3 linked regions of the Rhinolophus ferrumequinum genome follow. The protein of the gene in region 3 purifies or fractionates together with the protein of the main gene of each other region. This does not show direct contact. Links are inferred from orthologs where the notes say so. Each region holds a gene or a part of one and is shown on either strand. Other genes may lie near its edges.

Region 1 (7,565 bases), on a different chromosome or scaffold from region 3:
CCAACAGGGACACCAGCAAGGAAGAGGGAGGTTACGCAGGGGAGTAGACAACCCCCCCACCCAGGAGAGTCGGGGTGTGTATGTGTTCAAGAACCTGTTGCTTACGGCCAAAAACGGTTTAGGGGGGTTGGGAGAGAAGAAAAGAGAAAGAAAATCAGAAAGCAGGGGACAGGAAAAGTAGAGGGTGGTGAGGTAATGGAAAGAAGAAACTCAAACTAGCATTTATTGAGCACCTACTATACACCAGGCACCTTCACACTCATCATCTTTTTATATTTCACCACAACTCTGAGGGACAGGATTATTAGCCCCATTTTATGGATGAGGAAACCGAGCCTCAGACAGATGAAGGAACTTGCCCAGAGTTCTACAGCCAGCAAGTGACAGTGGGAACACCAGCTCCCACCTGTTGCCCACACTCCGTCCCATTTACAAACTGAGCAATAGGACCAGAGAACAAGGCAAGCCCAAGGGAAGTGATGGGGGGTGGGGGGAGGGGGCCTCATGTTCAGTGTCCGGACATGAAGGAACCAAGAGGGGTGGAAGCTAACCTGCCAAACCCCCACGATGGCATTGGCAATGAGAATCAAGAGGATGACAAAGGGTTCAACAAACGCAGTGACGGTCTCCTCACCTTCCTCAAACCAGGCCAGCACCTGGGAAGCAGGAGAAGGGAGAATCACAGGTGAGAGCGGCCCTTAAACAGGTAAAGAAGGCCAATGGAGGTGAGAACTCGTGCAGGAGCAAAGAAAGGGCCAGGCCTCACCGGGCGCGCAGCCGCGCGTCGGTCTGCCGGTCTAACACTCCAGGATGGGCAGCACCGCCAGGCGGGCACAGACCTGCACCCCTCAGGGATTACCGAGGAATGCTTTCAGGTTTCCCTGACAGAGCTGCACGCTTGTAAACAAAGCTCAGGGGGCACCCGGGCCAACTACCCACACAGCCACATCCATCCCAGGGGAGCCACAACTCCATAGGAAAAAACCTGTGGTCCGCGCAGGCAGGCGGGCGGCTGGCCCACCCACAGCCCTCCCCCCACAGCCCGAGGCAGGGAAGCTCCGATTTCAGGAGGGAGCAGGAGGGGGGCGGGATAGTGTTACGGGGCCTCCTGTACACACCCCACCCCACCCCAGCTGTTGCAAAGGCAACAGCCACAGGCAAATGTCAAGGAGCAAATCTGAGAAGGGAGAAGTGAGGCCCTGCCAGCTGGTGCTCAGGGGCCCACAGGCCTACATGAAGGAGACCAGGGGACAGGGACACTGTTTTGCCTCCGGAGGCTTGTTTTCCAGCAGGAGTAAGATGTTAAGGAAGAAACTCCACATGGCAGGATCGACTGATTGCTGGCACGGTGGGCGCCCAAGGGAGCCCCAGGCAAGGACACGTGGCAGGACCCTGAGGAGCGGGCGGGGGCAGCGCTGAGGCTGGAGGGGCCCAGGGAGGGCGGGGAAGGGGAGAGTCAGGCCAGTCTGGGGAGGAAAGGGATCCCAGGATTTTCAGCCCTGTTGGGGGGCAGAGAAGCAAGGCCAGCGACAAGTGAGGGGTCTGCGCCTCCAGGAGCCTTTGGAGTCACCCTCGCACCAGCAGCTTTCCCGCCTCTAGGAGGGTCTTTGCCTCGACCAATCAGCGCCAGGAGGGCGGGGCAGCGGCGCCAGGAGGCTCGGGGATTGGTGGAGAGGCGCAGCCTGCACCTCGGGCACCCAGGGAGTAGTGGCGCCCCCGAGTGGCCGCAGCGACGGAGCTGGGGAGCCCTTCGCTCAAGGGGGTAACCCGAGCCTTCGGAGCCCTGGAAGCTTCGGGGGGTGGCTTAGCTTCAGTGTTTTGGCTGAGAACACCGTTAAAGCTTAAAATAAAACCTGCCTGCGGGGTGTGGGGAGGACAGAGGGCGCACATCAGCAACCCACCCCCCACCCCGGTCAGTTCTGGTCTGCAGGATAGGATGCCGAGGGCTTGGACGAGGGGGGCCTCGGATTTGGAGCCCTCCCCACCCTCGGCACCCTCTCCAGATCCCCGCACCCGCAGCCAGCCCCCAGATGTTCCACTACACTCACAAAGGAAATGCAGGCGGCCAGGAGAAGGATTCGCACCAGGAGGTCTTCAAACTGTTCTACCACCAACTCCCACAGGGATTTCCCTGGGGGGAGAGGCAAGGGGAGGGCGTCCCCGGGGTTAAGGTCTAGCGGATGGACAGCAGGGACTCCAGGTGCAAGCTGGGGGCCAGGGACTGAGGGCGCCCTGATTTCCAGCCCCGAGCAGGATGGTTGTGGGGCGATGGGCAGACCACTTGGTAGTGAGAGAGGGAGCTTGCCAGGACGCCACCAACGGGCTCCTCCAAGTGGCGGGCAGTTGTTCAAGGGCTGGATGCCCAAGGAGAAAGTGCCTGGAAACTTCTGCCCCCAGCCCGGCTCAAACCCTTGGGGAGGGATATTTGCCCCAGGAGTGAATAGGGAGAGGCAGGGAAAAGGGAGTGGAGCCCAGAGGGGAGGGGGGTCATTTATGACAGCTCAGGGATTTCGGTAACTTACCTTCCTCAGCAGGGAGCTCTACCCAGGGAAAAAGAAGAAAAGGACATGTTCATTTGGGGTTCTGTCTGATGCCCCCCCACACACACACCCAGGATTTTGTGGCTAAGGTAAGAGAATCAGGCCATCGAAAGGGCATCTGAGGTTCTCCAAGGTCATCCTATAAAACCTCCCAAAACTCTGGGTCTCAGGGACCCCGTTTTCTCCGTATTCTCTTCCCTATCCTCTTACGGCTGCAGTCGTTGGACCCAGCTCTTCCCTACGATACCCCAGAGGGGGAGACTGCGTGTGAGTATGCGTGTGCGCTGCGCGTGTGCGGGAGGGCATTACCAGCCTCCGAGCCACACTTACCATTGGGGCCATATTTCTCCAGATGCCGCTTAACTTGGTCCGGGGTAAGGCCTGTAGTCTCGCTCACCCCAAAATAGGCCAAACATTCTTCTGTGCTCTTGGAGTGTGCACCCTCCATTGTGCTCCCTTCCTGGGGGCCAGGGGGCCGTGTGTTTCTTCTAGGGGGGTTCTCACGTGTGGGGGGCCTTCCTCAGTGTGTCCACCTGCCTGTCTGTCGGGGCTTCTTCTTTTTTTCTCTCCTGCCCCCCCCCAGGTTTTTCTTCCTTTCACGAAGCTCTGACCCCCGTCCCACTTGTAGCAGCCGGCCACCCCCCAGCCCCCAGCTGGTCCCTTATGAGGGAGTAGGGGGGGCCAGGCTCCCCCCTCCCCCAGATCAGGGATTGGCTGGCTGAGACGCCAGCAGGAGGGGTCAGAAGAGAGAGATATTTCTGCTGACAGAGGGGGAACAGTGGGGCTGCAGCCTGAGATGTCACTCATGAGGGAAGCTAAGATGGCCCCAGCCCCAGGGAAGGGGGGCAGAGAGACTTCACTTTCTGTCTTCTGCTACGGACCCCTCCCCCAATTGCCTCAGCTTCCTCAGTTGCACTGAATTTCCGGTTCCAAACTCATCCCCCCAGTTCTCCCCATAAGCCCACTTCTCCTCTCAGGCCTTCCCCGGGCACGTCCCTCGCACCCCACCCCCCACCCCTGCGTCCCATCTCGTCCACTCTGAACCTGCCAGCCTCCTTCTTCACCTAGTTTGTTGAAAGGGCAGCAGAGCTATTCCAACCTTCGGGGGATGGAAGAGGGGGAGAACATCCTTTGGGGGCCAAAGGAAGTGGCTCTGGAGGGATGAGGGGAAGAGGGAAGGGAGGGGGTCAAGGGGACAGGGTAAAGATGGTAACCCTACCCTAGGGAGGGGTTGCGGCAGCCATCAACAGGGGATTTAGTGTCCAGGCCCGACGAGCAAAGCCAGGACTGCCTGTCTCTCCCCTAAATTCCCCCCCCCACATCGCTCTAACTCAGCCTCTGGGAACATAACCTCCAGCCCCCCCTATCTCGAACAGTGAATCCCACCCCCCGCAAGAAAATGGGATACCCAGGCAGCAAGGTAACCCAAGAGGCTACAGAATGTGCTGATGGCAGAGGGGGAGGGATAAACATTTCAGGATGGGGGTGGGGGTCACCCCAAGTCATGGAAGAAGGGTCGCCTCCGTCCCATACTGTGCTCTCTGTAACCTAAGGGGTTTCCCTGGCAGACCCCACATGGATGACGCTCTGCACTCCACCTGGCCCTGAAGTATCTGTGCTCAAGGGGAGTGAGGACCAGAGCTGTATGTCCAGGCCCTGGGCACACCCCGTGGGAAGCAGCAGGAGGGAAGGGGCATCCAGGAAAGGGTGCTGGGGAAGCTGGATAAAGCAGAGGCTCCAGGCCAAAGGCGTGGGGAGAGGGCAGACTGATGGGGACATGTCTGGGGGAAATAAGGACAGACCAGAGCTGGGGGAGCAGAGAGAGAGCTGCCAGGGTCAGAAGGAAGTCTGAGGAGCAGTGGGGAAAAGGGACAGCAGGGAGCTGGCATGTGGCAGCCAGGTGGGTGGGGGCCCAGGGCTGGGTGCAAAGCCACAAGTTGTCACTGAGCGGCTGGCCTTGGTGTCAGCTTCCTCGGAGAAGCAGCTGCTCCGAGCCCCCCACCCCCACCCCTGCTCTGGGATGGGGGCATCTTTTGGTTATTACCAGGGCAGCTGCTGGAGGAGCAGGAGCAGAGGGTAGCCTGGGGTGTGGGTGGGGGAGGGAAGGATGGCAGAGAGAGGAGAGACGTTCAGTGGAGCAGTGGTGAAAGGTCAGTGAGGGGAAAAGCAGCCTCGCCACCCTGACCTCAAGTCCTTCCTCAGTTTCCTGAAATGGTGAGGATTACAGGCCACTGACTGACTGGGTCTCAAGGCTGCTTCCCTCGGCCGCCCAGCTGCTACGCAGACAGTGGCACAGGGGGCAGCGGGCAAAGGCAAGGGAAACCCGACTTCTGAGGCTAGCATGGGGGGAGGGCATTTAAGGATTTGGCCCCCCCACTCATCCCTCTCTCCTCCTGGATTTCGGGGTGAGCTGAGGACACAGACAGGGTACTCCCTCCCTCCTCCTCAGGGTTCCAACAAAACCTGCGCTGAAGCAGAGTCCTGCTGTGACCTGCCGTGGGGGCTCAGACAACGGCGTGAGTCTCCATCCACCTGGCCAGGCACCTCCACCTGGCCAGCACCCCCCAGCTCTTAGGCCCCAGTCGGGCTCCGCATCTGCCAAGCCTTTTGGCCGGCTGGCTTCTCCCTGACAGCACCTGGAGGAGTGACGGGAGCAGGAATGCCCAAACATGGAGAAGGGGGAGAAGGCTGGACCGGTCACAGGTTCAAGGGAGCGGAGCGCATGGAGCTGCGGAAAGGAGGCCGGCGTTGCAGGACGCTGCTGGCAACAGGGACCTTAAGGTTAGTCCTTTCTACCTCCATCAACTTCCCAGAGCGGGGACCTGACGCCAAAGGGGGAAAGCCAAGAGCCGCGGAAGGATCACCCTCAGGGAGGCTGGGGGTGTGAACTGCCCCGGAGGGGGCCGAGCAGGGAGGCCCTTGCTCGTGGATCCCCGCCACGCCGCGCCGCGCCACGCCACGCCACGGGGGTCTCCAGGCCCAGAGTTGGAAGGTGTTTTTCCCCTCCTATCTGAAGGCTGAAGCTGCGAGTAGGTCTGTGAGAGCCACGGACTGAGCCCAGCCAATCCCTGACCAGTGCTGAACTTCAGCTGAACCACCACAGGCTGGGAGAGAAGCAGTCTCTTAGGCTCCTCCGGCCAAGACATGCAAATCTTGGGGTGTGGGGGGCCCTTGAACCCCTCCCCCACCCATCTTCAGAAGGCGAGTCCCAGAGGGCCGGCGGGGTTTAGGGGAAGAGGGAGCCCACACACAAGTTGCCGCTAGATTAGGAGAATCAGGCCCTGCTTACGCTCGGGCACGCAGCCTTCAGGGGCCATCTCGTTTTGAGACTATCGCACCCAGCGCCCCAAAGCATCTCCACCTTTGCAAAGCCAATTCTATCCCCCCCCCCCCCCCCCCCCCCGTCTCCTGAGGCCAAGGTTTGGGGGAGTCCCAGGGATTAGATAAAACGGGGAGAGCCAGCAGGCTTCCCCAGGCGAGCCCACAGCCTGAGTGGCCTGTGAGCCCAGCTGTCTCCTGTCCATCTCCCCACAGGACACGAGGCCCAGAATAGCAAGGTCACAGGCATGGGTAGGGCCCAGAGGTGGGGGCAGAGGCTGGGGGGGGGGCGTGGAAGTGGAGGCTCCACGCTGACTGGGAGGGAAATGGAGGCAGAATGGTAAGAGGCAGAGGTAGGTGGACAGAGGTGGGGAGGGGAGGGGGCCACGTAAAGCAGGTGGGAGTCTGGGGAACCTGGCCCCTCCTTGTGGGCGCCCATTACCCGCAGAGCCGAGAAGCCCAGGGGCGCCCTCCACTGGAGGAGGGCAGAGCCGCAATTCAGAGAGCAGGGCCTGGGTTAAACGGAGGGGCTGGGGGGAAACGGAGGAGCAGCAGACGTTGCAACCGCAAATACCCACAGGCCAGGCACGTCATGAGTGACAAGGTCGGGCAGGGATGAGGCAGATGCAGCACGAGGCTGCCTTCTGATTTTCAAGAGAAGCCAATCATCTGAACTTTTATGTGAAATTCCATTAGCCAGGCCATCTAGGAGGGCGGACAATTCAGATCGCAAACTCATCCTAGAAAAAGTGCTACGTACCTCATTGCTGAATATCACTATGGTCACCTTCGAAGGACTCCCCTTGGGAAGCTGTGCACCGACGCCAGCGCCTAGTCCACCCTTCAAAGCCGTTTTTGAACTCTTTTTCTGGAATGGCCATCAGAGCTGTCGTCGTATTACCCTTGATGTCCTGAATGTCATCAAAATGTCGTTTCAATGTTTCCTTTATCTCCGGGTAAAGACAGAAGTCATTGGGGGCCAGATCAGGTGAGTAGGGAGGGTGTTCCAATACAGTTATTTGTTTCCTGGCTAAAAACTCCCTCACAGACAGTACCGTGTGAGCTGGTGCATTGTCGTGATGCAAGAGCCATGAATTGTTGGCGAAAAACTCAGGTCCTCTAACTTTGTCACACAGCCTTTTCAGCACTTCCAAATAGTAAACGTGGTTCACTGTTTGTCCAGCTGGTACAAATTCATAATGAACAATCCCTCTGATATCAAAACAAGGTCAGCAACGTCGTTGCCCCAAGTTCAGGAACTTAACCTTCAGACCTTGTGAGTCACGAGCTCCATCCCAGATGAAACTTCCCACTCTCCAGATGAAGATACTGAGGCTGCAGTGGTTACACCTTGCCTCCGGCTCCCCAGAGTGGCTCTGAGGAGGGTGGCCAGCCTGCCCTTGGGCCCCTCTGCCGCCAGACTCTGTGGCTGCCACATTCAATGTCTCCCCACACAGCCCCGTGCCCCCAGGCCCACCCCCATGACCTCTCTCTGCCTGTTTTCTCCCTGGGGTAGGAAGCCTTAACTGAAGAACTCAGAGCAGGAGGGGTCCTGGGAGATTGAGTCCCGTTACGAGAACGTGGCTGGAGACCCCAGACAGCGCTGGGTGGCTCTGCTCTTACCCACAGGACAGCCCACAGAGGAGCCGTGGGCTGAAAGCCCAGGACCGGGGCCCCTGCTGACCCCCCTGGCCCGGCCCCCACTGC
Region 2 (8,461 bases), on a different chromosome or scaffold from region 3:
CGGTTTACTGGAAATAATGCCACTGATATTGCAACACTGCCTTAAGTTACATACACGGAATACATACAAGCCAGAATACCTCTTTGGCTTGTATATACATCAGCTGATTAACTTCTAAGAGGTCCCTGATGACCGTATTGAACCCCAGTATTTCAACTACCAGAGCTGACAGTTTCAGAATTACGTAGCCAGCTTAAATATAAATATTATACTAGCCCAAATATGTAATTTGTTTTGCCCCACGACAATATGTTGAAACTTATTAATCAAACAGATCTACTCCTTTCTCTTAATTGGTTAAAGCAGCAGTCATTTACTGGCGAGGAGGTTGTGGGGTTAAATTAATTCAGAACAGACATGTAAGAGGTATCGAGTGATTAATTCAGGATGTTGAATGTTTGATACATCACTCTATATTTTATTCAATGAATATCACTGAAAAGATTCATAAGGATTGATTAATAGTTACACATCCCTTGGCTAAAATGGCAGATTCTCATGGCAGTATCTGTGTATATAATTACTCCAGAAAAAGTTCACCTCTTCCCAATTTTTTTCTCACCTAAAAAAATGTCCACTGCTTCCTTTATTCAGTTCTCAAAATAGCCCTCTATGGTATGGTTGTCAAAGACTGAGGTAGATCCCTGGTTGCATACATACAAACATAAAAACGAGACCTTGAAGCTGTGTAGGTTTTGTGAAGCCTGAAAAACGTATTGCACTGGGTGAATTTCGCTTCCAATCATGTTTTTATAAGAATAAAATATTGTAATTTAAGAACAAAAGGCATCTCATGCTGTTAGGATTAGGAACATCTGTGTCCTATTCATGACCATTTTTAGGAAAACTACCAAGAAGTCCATTGCCCAAGAAAAAAAGGCAATAAAAAATATTGAACAGAAAAAAAATGTTAATAACCTAGAAATATCCTCACCAACCCCCATCACCTTTCTTCTCCAGTAGTTCTTTGCATTTCACCAGTTTCTTAGCAACCATACAGGACTCAAGCGGGCAAGTATATACAGAAGAAGAAAAAACACAATTTTTTTTCTTCCTCTTTTAAGATCTAGAACCAACTGTACTGAACCTTGTTCTCTTAACCTAGGAGTCACTCAAGACAGGGGTCCAATTTAGATAAATATACCACCCTAAAGGTCAGTGACCAAATTTGGTCAACAGTGGTGCCATCACTGCCGTCATCATTCTTGTCACTGTCAGAAACTGTCACCTTGCCATTACTAGGACAGGAGAGCAACTGGAATATTCCTTTTGTAAGTTCTATTTACAGACTACAAAGAGCCCAACATCATCTTAGTATGATCTTACACAATTGAAGAACCCGAAACAGAAAAGGCCTTCCAATAAAGAACTTTTTGTTATTAAAAACTGATAAACCACAAGAATTTGTAAGACCCTGCCACATTCAGGAATAATTTCTAACTGCACTGTAAATATCAGGCAGCCATTTATTTTCTGTTCACGAATGGCTTCAAGTGTTTTGTTTGTAATTTTAAAATATCTAGGTTTGGAAAAAAAAAATGGAGACACAGCTTAAACCTCCAAATATAATGTTCTCACCCGATAGACATTATTTATTTGGAGAGAAAATGAATTGCTTCATACTTACAAAAGATATACATGCTGCCAGCAATAAAATTCTAACTAGTAAGTCTTCAAACTGCTCAATCACAAGTTCCAGCAAGGTTTTTCCTATTAGAAACAAACATATTTGTTGTAAATGTCATATTAACTTCAGCACACAAAGGGAGGGGGTGGAGGTGGAGAATGGGACATTTTAAGATTACTTACCTTCTTCAGCCGGTAACTCTGTAGAATGTAGAAATTCGCCAAGCAACCGTGTCAAGAGGGGGGAAAAAACATTTTAGCATTCTGTATTTCTAAAAAAGAATTGCTAAAACTTATCAATCTTTGAAAGACGTACCTAGATATATATACATTCTATCATTTTTAATGGAAACCATACTAAAATGGTACCCCCCAAAAATATGCAATACTTGTAACCAATGGCCTTAGGTCTACCCCAAAGCGTAAAATCTCATTGCCATCTAAACAGGGATCCCGAAACAAGGAGTCATTTCAGCTATGTCATCACTTCTGCCAGATGTGTAACTTTGGGTAGTGCAAGAACGGTCAGAGGCATTCTCAACTACAACGACGCCTCATAAACAGGCTGGGACGAGAAAATGTCTCGCAGGACTCAACCCAGCTTCAGGAGACTAGTTCCTCCCTCCACCAGGGCCGGCTGCTGCTGGTGACAGTCACGGAGCTGGCCGCGTGCGGGGAAGGTCAAGGTCTCGAGCCGCGAGGACATCGAGAGCAGGCGCAGACCCGATCCGGAGCCCCCCGCATGCTGCCCCTTTCCCGCCTGGCCGACGCGCGGGCTCGACCCGCCGCCTGCAGCCCTCGGCGGGCTCGGAGCCGAGACCCACGAGGTGGGGCCCGGTCAGCCATCTTCCCTGGCTCTCGGCCCCGCGCCGGGCCGCGCGGGGCCCCTGCAGCCCCGGCGCCGGGCACCTACCGTTGGAGCCCCATCTCTCCTTGAGCTTCTTGACCTGATCCAGGCTCAGCCCCGTGCTCTCGTTGACACCGAAGTGGCCCAGCACCTCCTCTACGGTCTTTGTGTGCGCGTTCTCCATGGCTGCGGGGGCCTCGCCTCCCGTCCCCGCGGCCTCCAAGCCTCCGCCTCGCACTCGGACAGCGGGCTCGTGCCACCTCCGGCGCCCAGGCGCGGACTGGCTTCTCCCCCTCCTCCTCCGGCTGCTTCCGCCTCGCGGGGCGCTGAATCACCCCGCGCCCCCTCCCGCAGACAACCGCTCCTCTCGCTGCCTAGCCCTCGCCGGCGCCCACCCCGGGCTCAGCTGGGCGGTGGGAGCTCGCGACTCTCCTCGTCAGAAGGGAGGGTCTCCTTCGCCCTCAACCGCCCGCCCAGAGTGCAGGCCGCGGCCCCTTAGCCCCCTCCCCGCTCTCCTGAGGTGATTCGCGGCCCCGCCCGGACCAGAGGAGGGGGCGCCCGGCCGACCCCTGAGGGCGGAACGAAGGGCTGCAAGCCGGTGGGGTGGTGCACAGCGCGCTCGCCCAGTTCCCTCAGCTCTACTCCCCCGACAGCGGCGGAGGAAACTGCGGCGAAAGAGAAGGAGGTGGCGTCGGGGACGGCTCCGCGGCGACTGCTCTAATAGCATTTATCCGTCGCTGCCTCCCCTCTCGCCGCCGCCGCGGCATGTGGACGCCGCTCATTGGCCGAGAGGGCCCAGCGCGGCGCGGGCGGCGCGGCCCCGCCCCCTCCCCGGCTCCCTCCCTCCCGCGCGGCTCGCGCCCACGCTGCCACGCAGGCCCCGCCCCTCCCGCGCACCGCCCCCCGGAACCCGGATCGAGGCTGCTGTGAGCGGTGCCTGCACAGTGTGCCCTGTGGTCCGCGGGCTGACGGGGCGCGAGCTCCGGCCCGCTCCTCCGCTGGTGCGGCCTTAGATCCCCAGCCGCCCAAAGAACTAGAATCCAGAAGGGTGGGAGCCTCAAGGTGGGCTCCCTGCACTCGCTGCCCGGAGGGAACTGCCTGCCCTTCAGGGTCGGCCTCAGGCCGGGGTGCATGGCTGGGAAGGCGAGGCCAAGGAACCTGGGAATTTGGTCCGCACAGGGCTCCCGAAGCGCGCTCTGGTTGGTGTCCTTGGCTCGCCCCCTCGCTCTCAATCTCCAGGGCCGCACTCTGCATCCTAATCTGTCTGCTTCGGAGCCCCGCCTCAGTAACCAAGGGGAGGAATTCCGCAGTTCACTTCCCACAAGGCCAAAATCCCTCATCTGTAGCCTCAGGAACACCACATCCCACACCCACAGCTGAGGGCTCCACGGCACGCAGACATCAGCCTTTCCCCAGCGGGTTCTGGGCCCTGACTGAGTTAATCCCACTCTGGGGAAAAGAAGGAAGGTTTTGTTTTGTTTTGTTTTGGAGGTTTTCTTTTTAATAGCCCACACGGCCTTCGATACATGCCTGCGTAGAAGACACAGGTTATGCTACTGTACCTGCTGTGTAGCAGTGAGATTTGTACTAGAAGGTGCTTCTCTTGGGTATTAAGATCAAGGCTATTTTCTAGACTCCCCTTTCCCCAATAGGCGAAAAAGGGTCTTTAATCCAAGACCTATTCTTAATCCACAGATGATTTGCCCCTGAGATCTGTACAAAACCTAGGTAACAGCAAGATAAAGGGAATTTCCCAATGTAAAGAAGTTAGACTATTTAACAGGGCTTGAACTCATGAACAAAAAGTGAACATATTCGCATCACAAAGAACAGCTTTCTTAAGGAAGTGTGTCGCAGAATGAAGCAGTTAGTCCACTTTTGTGTTTGGCAATACTGTACCATCCACATGAGCCAAAGCAGAACAAAAATCACCTCAGTTGTCCCAGATGGCTCAGCCTCAGGACTTGAGATAAATTCCTTCAAGAGATGCAAATTACAGTGCATTACCCAGATGAAAAAATCAGGCACGTCATTTCATTATTTCCAAGGAGTGGAGGCTGGCATGCAGTTTTGATTGATACTTGGAAAAGGGCCAACAAAACCCTACACGAAACAAACAAACAAACAGAAGTCTAGTGTATGGCAATGCATTAAGAGAAGCACGGTGGAAACTGGTTAGGTCACAGGATTGGAGCCTCCTCCAGGAGGGACCGGGACTGTATGGTGGGGGTGTGGTAATGGAGGGCTGATGGTTCCTTTCCCTCTGAGACCAGGTCTGCACCATTTCTTACCAGTTCTTCTGCCTCATCTCATCTCTTTCAGCAACAATGGAAGAACTATAGGCAGAGGGGATCATTAACCTTTCTCATCCCAGAAATTACCTTGGGTATTTGAGTTTGGGTCTCTGTTCCAGGGCTGGGTCTCTGCTTAGTGTTATAAGCACCTCTGGTGTGATTATGAGCTTCCTGAGGGGTTCCCTACCTCGGCTTTTGTACTGAATGTGCTTCCCCAGATCTTTGAGTGCCTCGTTTCATCTTTTTCAGATCTCAGCTTGCATGTCACCTCAGAGATGTCTTGGCTGACAACGTGGCTACCCGCCCCAGTCACCCTCCCTGTCATGTTTTTGTTTTCATTGCTTCACAGCACTTATCTCTGATATTGTATTTTTGTTTAGCTGTTTACTGCCTGTCTCTCCCTACTGGGATATAAGCTTCATGAGAACAGGGGCTTGTCTAGCTTGTCCATCCTCAGGACACAGTACAGTTCCCGTTATACACTCATCATTTATTGAACTCCTGTGTGAATGAAACAGTCCCACCATCCCTGACCTATCAGTGACTTGCAAAAGGCCTTGCCTTGGGAATGCCTCAGCAAATTTTTGCTGAACTTAAGTTCATTGGTTTCCAATTTGTGAAATCAACAGGAACTACTTGCCTCATGGGAATGGTTGTAAAGGTTGGATTTCAAACAAAAACAGAGTTAGGCAGCATTATAGGTTTCTCGGAGATAAGTAATGTAGGTTCACATTGCTCCTGTAACCACATTGTCATCACTCTTCTAGACTGTTCTTTGCCAGTCTTTTCTATACATTGGAAGTCGATATACTCCCTTTAACTGAAACTGTGATTTTTAGCTTGGCTTTGGCCCCTTCTACATCACGTGCCAATTATGCACTTGGTTCCTCAACCTGTTGGAGTCTCTGACACGTGTTGTTTCTAGGTTGCCAAAATTAAGCATAAACTCAGACTCCCACAGGCAGAAAGATCTAGTCATTCCTATGTAGAAATAAACCTATGCCCAGTTTATTTTATGAACTACCTATGCTTCTCGTGCAGGTTAAACAGTAAGAATGGGTTTTAGAAATACTTTCACCAAGGATTGCAGTTACAGTCTATTAATTGAGTACAGGGAGAGGAAAGAGAAGAGAAACTGTGATTCAGAAAGATGGATGATTTGATCAAAGAACCTGAAAGGAATTGATAAAGGAGGACGTTAGCTGGTAATAAGCAGGCGAGTTTAAAAAGCCTGGCAGACAGAAAAGGCCCAGTAGAAAGAGTGACTTTGTGAAAAAGGCCAGAGCCAACTTTCCAATCCTCTATAGCCCTCCTGTAAAGCGATGGAGATTGCAAAAGGCAGTCTGTTCCATATTTGGACAGCTCTGATCATGAAAGCAGTCTCATTCTGGGCTGCATCCACCTCCCACTAGCTTCTCCTATACATTGGTTCTTGTTCAGCCCTCTGGAACAATTCTGAATAAGTTTAATTCCTCCTCTGTGTGAGATCCTTTTAAGTATTTCAAGATATCTATTGCGCTTTATAAAAGTCTCCTCTCTCAGCTAAAAAGAACAGTGGTCCCTGAGCTGTTCCTCCTGTAGCAGGAGTCTGCAACCCCTCAGTATCCTCCTTGTCCAGTCCTGGAGACACCCAATATGGAACACAAAACTCTAGGCAGTCTCGCAGTGGAGTTATCACTGTCCACCTTTGTGCTGGATGCTTGCTCCTCACACCATTTATTTGTGTTAACAATCAACTCAACACTGAGTTCTGTATATATAAACTGCAGTCATGTGAAATCTTCCCATTGTGTCCTTGAACTGTTGAATTTTTTTTAACCCAGGCACTGAACTCTGACTATTGTGTTCATTTTGGCCCATCTTTGCCGTTTGTCGTGGTCTTTTGGAGTCTTCATCTTCAAGTGATGTTTTAGCTATATGTTCTGGTTTGGGTGACACACAAATTTGATAAGCATGACTTATGACTTCTATGTCTTTACCCAATAGAACTTCTAGACATTCATTCCAGATTAGAAAATAACCAATCACCTGGATTTAGTTGTTCAACTGCTGTACGAGTTGTGATCAGATAATACGGTGAATGTTTAAATAAAAAAATTATTACAGTAAAAGGCACATTGCCATCAATCCTCCTCAAAATACTCCCCCTCACTTTGAACATGGGATAAGTCATCATTCTTGCCACTTTCTGAAGCAGTTCTGGAAGTCCTCTTTTGTGAGTGCCTTGAGTTGAGCTGCCATCGTTGCCTCGATGTCCTGAATTGATTCAAAACGTTTACCTTTCACGGTCATTTTGACTTCGGGGAAGAGCCAGGAGTCGCATGGTGCCAGATCTGGTGAATAAGGTAGATGAGGACACATTGCAATGTTTTTATTTGATAGAAATTGCTGTACCAGAAGCGGTGTGTGACATGGAGACTTTTCTTTGTGATCACAAAATATGGTGAATGCTGTTGCCAAATACCATCCCACGGAAAGGCAGGGACCTTCAATACAGGAAGCGGTGCATTGAACCTTGGTAACTGTGTGTGACGAGTTTCAACTTGTTCAGTCTGTCAGATGTGAGCTATGGTTGTCAGAAGGTGTGTTTTAAAGTGTGCTGTAAATCATCCTCCATCATGACAACTCTCCGTCACACATCACTTCTGGTACGGCAATTTCTGTCAAATAAAAACATTATGGTGTGTCCTCATCCACCTCATTCACCGGTCTGGCACCATGTGACTTGTGGCTCTTCCCCAAAGTCAAAATGATTCAGGACATCGAGGCAGCCATAAAAGAGCAACTAAAAAGACTCTCACAAAAGAGGACTTCTAGAACCGCTTCAGAAAGTGGCAAGAATGATGGGCTAAGTGTGTTCGAAGCGAGGGGGAGCATTTTGAGGGGAATTAATGGCAATGTGTCTTTTACTGTAATAATTTTTTTCATTTAAATATTCACCGTATTTTTTGATCATATCTCATAAATCAACTTCACCATAGGTTCCAAAGTCAGGAAAGTGAAAATCTTATAAGGCACTCTGCCGCCTCCTTATCTCCCATAATACTTTATTATACAGCATTAGAACCGACCATTGCTTTGGTTGAGCACCTGATGCAGCCAGCTTAAGGATTATGTTACAAGAAAAATACATATTTATGTGCTAGATTCAGAACTGGCACAGTAAGGTGTTTATAATGATAGGCAGGTGGGAGCTAAGGCCATCCAACTTAATCACATCTGCCATCTCTTACTCTGGAACACATGCTTGTTGAGTGGGCAGAGTTGCCTGCACTGTTTAAATTCTTTGTTATGTAAATTAAAGTCTCTTAAGGTGATTATGGGATGTTAGTCCACTGCACTATTAACCAGCCCACATTTCTCTACTTGTCCATAAGAACTTTCAAGGACTCTCCACTGTGTTGCTAAAATCTAGGTACATTGTCTACAACAGGCTCCAAATCCATTCTAGTGATCTTTTCACAAAATGTGTCTAGTTTAGCATGGCTGGTGTTACTGAGCACATGCCAGAATCTAGTGACTACATTTTCTACATGCCCACAAACTATAATTTTAACTTCTGAGAATTTGCCAAACTTAACAGACTGTCTTTTCTAGATTTGCCTCCCTACCTCCATTAGTAAGCATTCTTTTGATGGCTCAGGGTCAAAAAGCCGACTGACTAGCTTATGCTTTTTAAAAAAGGACTTATTGG
Region 3 (7,332 bases):
CACTAGAGGTCCTCAGTTACCTACAAGTATACTGGGGTGGAGATGGGTATACTTAGGCCTCATTTTCATGTGTTTATTTGGTACTAAATGCTTCAGAATTATGTAGAGTGAGAACATTGATGTACTATTTCTAGAAATGTTCAAAGAGAGTACATATTTTCTGATTTAGGTCACTGTAATTTAGAAGGATTATTTCCCAGATTTCTAACCTTTAGGTTTGCTCCTTGGCTGGTATGATCAGCACTGTTAATTCACAGTTGAGATGAAGGTTAGTGATTTCCACCGCATAAAAACAAGATTCCTCTGTTCAAGCATTTCAGAACATATGGGGTTGAATATTTTAAATGGTAGAATGTGAGGAGGTGAGAAAGGAAATTGAGGAAAGCCAAAAGATTTAATATAATACTGGAATGAAGTGTGAAAATGTGGCTTTGTGAAAAGTTTTGAGGAGAAATTAACCTGGATTTTAGGTAATCAAGGCTAAATAGATGAAAAGCATTGAGTAGTTTAACAGTGAAACACATTAAAAAGGAACTTTAATTTGATTGATTGATCATGTTATTTTTTTAAAGTCTTGGTAATTGTTTTCAGTTTTACCTTCCAGGGTGTATTACTTAATAACTAAGATCATCTATAACATGCTTACATCCCTGGCTTTGAAAATAAACAGGATAGTAGTATACTCATAGGCTATTAAGGACATAATGCCTTATACATAAATTAACTTGAAATGAAATGGAGAGGTTCTAAATAAAATAGAAGTTTGTGTCCTCTAACTTTGCCTTTTAGAGTACCATTAACAGTATTTGAGGACTTTCAATTTATTTTGCTTTGCCAATGTCATGTTTTATTTTTAAGCCATGTTGACCCGTGGGTGGGATGTACATGTGGTTTAGAGTCAGAAAATCTTGGCCCCTGCCAAGGTTCCACCATTTCCCATCTGTGACCTTGGGCAACTCACCGTTTTCACATCTGTTTTCTAAATTGTAAAACAGAGATGTGGTGTCAAACATATCGGGAGCTAAAAGGATCAAGTGAAGTTTTTATATACACTAGTGCATTTAGAAAATTGTTCAAGGAAAAAGAAAGCAGTTTCAATTGACTTTATATTTCTAGGATTGTTAATAAATAAACAGCCTTGCTTAGAGAGGTAATCTAATCTTTACATTTAAGTTTTACTTAAAATTTTAATATGTTACATAATTTATTACATAATTAATAATATTGCTTAATACATTTAGTAAATTAAAATTTTCATTCTTTCTTTGAACTGTTTTATCTATACCAGTATTCTTCTATCTCTAATTAGTGAAATTAAGAAACAGTATGGATAAGTATGTAACCAAATGCAATTTTTTTCTGGAATATTACTTTTCTTTATGTCTACTAAAATACTATTAAAATAATTTTTGATATTTGAGTCTTAGGAAATGCTAGTGATGTGACTTCTTTTAATAAAGCAAGGTACTCTAGCTCTTTCACGTGTCTTTAAAATTTAATCAGTTTTCATAATTTAAACATCTTGCACATTTCTTCCATTTTATTTCATCTGACACTCCTTTTTAGCACTTAATTTTAAACCACACGTCTTTATAAACAAAGACAATACTTAAATTTCACCCTGTGTTTGAGATGAACTTGTTGGTACAAAATATCTGACACTAACACAATGTTTGAAATTTGAACAACAGTCACCGTAACTAATTTTTGTTTTTCTGGACACATTATCTAAGGATATCTTTAATAGAATTTCTGCTCTTTCTAGATATTGTCAATTTTTTGGAGCAATAGGTGATGTGGTGATAGTCTGGTACTATAAAGACTCACAAACAGTTGAAATGTGAGAATGTAATTTGATAGGTATATGAGTAAAAATAAATAAATATGCATATAAGACACCTACCTACACTGAGTGACTTCCCTGTAATATCAAAGGAAAAACATTTTATGAATGTAAAGATATTGAGAGGCAGTGAGGGTGCCTCATTGGTAGGCAAAAACCAGGAATGTTTTTGCATGCCTTAAGGAAAGCTGCTTGTGGAATTACAGAGTTCTTTCTATAACTAGCAGTAGAGTTAACATTTGTCATAGGAATTCAGAATTTTAGAGATGAATTTTATTTTGACCTATATATATGAAAATGAAAAGAATGAAATAAAATCGATGTAATATTCTTTATACTATGAGATTTAAGAATGAAGACACATTTCATATAGTAAATTGAGATTTATAACATAAAAAGTAGAGTAGAATTCAACCAGAAGTTATTTTTCTTTTTTCCTCCCCCCCCCCTTCTAAATGTGAGAGAGGAAACTGAAGATTGTAACTTAGTATTTTCATTGCTAGGTAGAATATACACTCATTTTATCAAATTCATTCAAATGGGATATTTAGGAATGTTTGTGCTGCTAAAATAAGATCTATTTTTAAAGTGCCACATTGTATTCTGTGCATTTAGAAAGAATTTTGCATGTGTTCTTGACAAGTGTTTTGGAATTTTCAAACTTGTTATTTATGATATGGTATTGAAATTAATGTAAGTAACTCAATTTATTAAAAGCTTGGATTTCTTTTTAGCAGTGTTTGTTAAAGTTGACTGGACTTTATAGAAAGGAAAAAAGTCTTCAAAAGCATTTTAAATAGTTTTGATTATATATTCTTCAATTCTACTTTGTTAATATTCCCTGTAAGGAATCATAATAATAATATTGGAAAAGTTATGCCAATGATGTGCATGTTGTACAATCACAGGACTGTTCATAGTATTCCAGATGTAGACAGCCCACCCTGTTTCTCAGCAGAATAACAAATAACAAAATGAAGCCATTGTTTTTGCCTGAAGAAATCAAATCACCACTATCACCAACCAAATTTGAAAGGTATTTTAATTGGCAGAAATTCACTTTGAAAAGCAAAATGAACGTGAAAATTAAAATGAAAAAACCAATAACCAAGATCAAAGATGAATGCAACCCTTTTCATTTCAAAGCTAAGTCTTATTCTTAGTCACTGAATTATAAGCATTTATTTAGAAATTAAGCTTTTTGTCATATCAGACATTTTATTGTCTAACTTTGAGCTATAATTTACAATATATGATTAATTCTTTTTAAAGAGTTCAGTAAGTTTGAATTACAGAAACTAAGAATTTCCCAAATCAGTGAAATCTATTTCTTACCTTAGCTGTTGTGACGATCACAATGTATAGAGTGTTGTGAGTGGTATGAAGTCTTTATCGGCGTTTAGCTGGAAAGTTTTCTCTGTTACCAGATTTATGGGAACAATTGAAGTTGGGAGAGGAGAAAAAGTGTTCTAGGGAGGTCTCATGATGTCACAGAGGAATTCTGCAGATGTGATTGGTTAGCCATAGTCTTACCACACCCAAACTTTTTAGAATGTCATTTATCTCACTTTAGGTTTGGAAAGGTCATTAACACTTTGTGCCTCATTTTTAACTTTTAAAAGTATATGAGAGAGATGAAAAAACTGTTTGGGGTGGTAGAAAGCTCTTTTTAAATACTTGTGCATCTTTGGGCTTAGAAATGATTGTATTCTCATGGTGATAATGTTGAAGAACTAAAATAGTTACAGTAATAGGAACTTTCATAGAATGAGAATACTGGTTTAAGCCAAACAAGTTGTATTGAGTTGCTCTTGCTGCAGGTGCTTTGACATTGCAGCTTCATAATGTTAGCTTCTAGCAAGACAATAATTAGACATGAACTCAGCCTGCTTCACTTTCTTATGGGTAACTAAAATGTGTTGTGCAGCAGCTGCTGATGTGCCCTTAAATGGAGATGATTTTGGCTTCTTCCAAAGAAAGATAAAATCATTCTCTAGAGCAAATCTCTCATTATTTAAAGAATCAGCTACAACTAACAGAAAAAATATTTCAGTGATGACCCTCTGTGAACATTGCTAACGGAAAATTTACAACTTAAAAGTAAAACTCAAAATTAAAAATATTTCATGAATAATGTTTGACATTTGCTCAGTGCTCTACAAGCATTCTTTGTTTCATTCCTTACATAATAAGAATCTTTTATTATCATCAATTGCCAATGATGACTGAAATATAAAACCTAGGCTTGAAATGCAAGCATAAAATGGTTTACAGTAATTTGTCAAAGATGACACATCTGCTAAGAGAGAGACTGAGGATTCAAATCCGGATCTGTTTAGTTACAGTTCACTGATAGAATGGCATGTTGTGGGGGTGGAAATCATAATTTGGATATAGATTTCATAGAGTAGCATACATAAACTAAGAAATTTTGATGGAGATAAATGAATTATTGAAAACTTTTACTATTTTTAGAAAGTCTGCTTTAAGTGTCTGCCAGTTACACATTCATTTGAAAATAGATCATTGTATCAGCACCTCTAGTTCTAAGAAAATAGAATTAGTAATACTCAGTTGGATAAACTAAGAAACTGCCATAGACTCAATAAAATATGCTATGGATATCTCACATGTTGCTATATTTGCTTTAAAAACCTACATAGGTGTGCATGTGCGCGTGCGCGCATACACACACCTTAGAAGGATACTAATGAACTGGGTGTGTCAGAGTTGGTAAATGGAGACAAAAATATACTTTTTAGATTTGTACAAGGGTGGGGAGCTTCTGTGTTTACCTTTTTCCTTTTGGTTAGCTGCTGCTGTTTATTAGTACAAGTAGAGCTCTAGGAAGTGTTATACGTACTTCAGTTTCAGCCTGATTTAGCCTAAACAGAAAGTTGTTTAGTAGGAGCATTGGTGAACTACAGTATAATCAGTAGTGTTCCTCAAAATTCCACAACTAGGGGCTGGAAATTGTTTTTAGAGGTGCTTTGTCAGACTCCATTTTGCATCAAGCTATAGAATTTGAATTTTTGGTCACATGATCATGTACAACTTCCCTAAGCTGCCTTGTCTGTGGACTGGGTTTGTTGTGAGGGTTTAATGAGATGAATTATGTGTAGTGACTATCAGAGGTCCTGCAACACAGTGTCCATTTAGTGTTAGTATTTAGTTTTTATTTGCCTTTAGAAGATGATTCTTAACCTGCAGTCCATGGGTAGAGTTCAATGGTCTTTGAACTTGGATAGGAAAACAATTACATCTTTAGTAACCTTTAAATGAGATTTAGCATTTCTTCAGTTTTGACTATGCACCACAAACTGCAGAAGTGTTAGTAGCACATTTGACTGTCACTGTAGCAATTTCAGATAATTTAATATGTTACAGTTGTTGCAGATAGCTTGAAATACTGTTTACTTTAATCACTAGTTTGAAACTACCATAATTAAACCTGCCTGTAAATATTATTTATTGTGTTAAAGAAGCCCAAATATTACATCTCAAATTTGTTTTTTAAAATAAGTATTTCAGTGTAATTCATTTTCTTTCTAGTTCTGTGCATCTTAATTTTTTAAAAAAATTTATTTTGGAACAACCCTAAATTTACAGAATTATTACAAATACAGTGCAGAGGGTTCCTGTATACCCTGCACCTGGTTTCCCCTATTGTTAATATCCTGCATTAGTATGGTACATTTGTTACAACAGTTACACCTATGGTAATAGATTATTTTAACCAAAACCCATACTTTATTCAGATTTCCTCAGTTTTCCCCAGTGTTCCTTTTCTTTGCCAGGATCTTATCCAGGACACCAGATTGCCTTTAGTAGACATGCTTCCTTTGGTCCCCTTGATTGTGACATTCCTCAGAGTTTGCTTTTTTTTTGATAACCCCAACCATTTTGAAGAGTTCTAGTCAGATATTTTGTGGAATGACCTCCAGTTGGGATTTGTCTGATGTTTTTCTTATAGTTAGATGTGTTTTTGCAAGGAAGACGAGAGAGTTCAAGTGCCGTTTTCATCACCTGTCAAAGTGTAAACTATCACTGTGACATCAGTGTTGTTAACCTTGATCGCCTGGCTGAAGTGTAATGTTCGTCAGGTTTCTCCATGTAAAGTTACTCTTTTCTTACTCCTTCCTTACTGTGCTCTCCAGAAGAAAGGCACATGCGCAGCTACGCTTAGGCTTCACTACCGTAAGAGTTTCAGAATGTCTATAAAAATTATTTGGAATCCTGTGTATTTTATGTATATAAAAAAATTTGGAGAACAGATCAGTAAGCTTCAGCAGTCTGCCAGAAAAGTCCATGGCACACACAAAAAATGAAGAATTCCTTTGTTACAGGATGTTTTTTAGTTGTGTGTGGCGGCCTTTTTGAAAGAGGAGGACTGAGCTCCCAAAGAGGCTAAAATCCTGACTTCTGAGTTGGCTTTTTTAGGCCCTGTCTTTGCAGCTTCGTCTCTTATCACATTCCTTTGTAGTCTGTCTCTGGCCTTGTACAGTTAGCTGCCAGGGACTCTCTGAACAGGCTGCTGTTCTATTTTCAGCCTCCCTGCTTTTTGTAGGAGTGTCCTTCTTACCAACCTTTGTGCCCATCAAAGGGCTGTCAATTTATATGTGCTGTGCAGCCCTCCCTGCCTTATATCAAACAATTTGCATGTACCTTTGGTATCATCTCTCTTTTATTGTATTTATTAGTGTATGTGCCTAGACTAGATTGCAAGCTCCTTGAGAGCTGATCCAATAATTCGTATTTATATCACTGTTTGTTCTTTGTAGTATTGATTGAATGAATGATTAGATGAGTGAATAAAGTGGGGACCAGGAAAGATTGCAAGTGAATTGGTAGTGAATGAGTGATCCTGCAGAATTAAGTCTTAGGGACAATTATAAAATCCTTCTCAATTTTAAGATCATTGTGGGGGGAGTGAGGAAGGATAATTTCATATAGTCGTTGTTTTGATAGTTTGAAATACTGTTTACATTAATCACTACTTTGAAGTTGCCATAATTAGACCTGCCTGTAAATATTGTTATTTAATGTATTAAAGAAGCACAAATATTATATCACAAATTTGTTTTTTAAAATAAGTATTTCAGTGTAATTCATTCTCTTTTTAGTTCTGTGCATCTAATTTGGGAGGTTAGGGATAAAAGTGGAATGAGAATAAATTCTGTCAAAATATTTCTCGCCCTTTAAAAATATTTTAAATATCCTTGGGGGGTAAGAGTGGAGGAAGGCCAAACCAAAAGCTCATATTCCCTAAACCAAGCTTTTAAAAACTTAAAAATACATTTTTTCTTTCCTCATTGGATTCATAATAATTCATAGTACTTTATTTACTCTTATCTGCCTTCATTTATGTAGTTACTTAGTTTTTATTTTATTGCAATAGTAGTTTCCTTAAATTTTAGTAATAAGCATCTCTAAGATTATTACCTAAAATAAAAGCCAGGATGTTAGTAATAACATATCGAACTACATGT

The links. The genes of interacting proteins can lie anywhere in the genome.
Region 1: the proteins of PLN (region 3) and ATP2A1 purify together in Homo sapiens (affinity purification with western blotting, with the first as the bait; 3 studies listed by BioGRID). This does not show direct contact. The link is inferred for Rhinolophus ferrumequinum from reciprocal best matches to the Homo sapiens genes PLN and ATP2A1.
Region 2: the proteins of PLN (region 3) and ATP2A2 purify together in Homo sapiens (affinity purification with western blotting; 4 studies listed by BioGRID). This does not show direct contact. The link is inferred for Rhinolophus ferrumequinum from reciprocal best matches to the Homo sapiens genes PLN and ATP2A2.

The regions. Positions count from the first base shown.
Region 1 is NW_022680357.1:1,255,541-1,263,105, reverse strand, and holds the start of ATP2A1 (sarcoplasmic/endoplasmic reticulum calcium ATPase 1), read right to left. Parts: upstream 3,196-7,565; 5' UTR 2,989-3,195; coding exon 2,871-2,988; intron 2,541-2,870; coding exon 2,523-2,540; intron 2,132-2,522; coding exon 2,049-2,131; intron 657-2,048; coding exon 552-656; intron 1-551. UniProt on the Homo sapiens protein: Key regulator of striated muscle performance by acting as the major Ca(2+) ATPase responsible for the reuptake of cytosolic Ca(2+) into the sarcoplasmic reticulum.
Region 2 is NC_046308.1:6,031,434-6,039,894, reverse strand, and holds the start of ATP2A2 (sarcoplasmic/endoplasmic reticulum calcium ATPase 2), read right to left. Parts: upstream 3,196-8,461; 5' UTR 2,658-3,195; coding exon 2,540-2,657; intron 1,828-2,539; coding exon 1,810-1,827; intron 1,711-1,809; coding exon 1,628-1,710; intron 1-1,627.
Region 3 is NC_046286.1:68,962,338-68,969,669, reverse strand, and holds the start of PLN (cardiac phospholamban), read right to left. Parts: upstream 3,293-7,332; 5' UTR 3,179-3,292; intron 1-3,178. UniProt on the Homo sapiens protein: Reversibly inhibits the activity of ATP2A2/SERCA2 in cardiac sarcoplasmic reticulum by decreasing the apparent affinity of the ATPase for Ca(2+).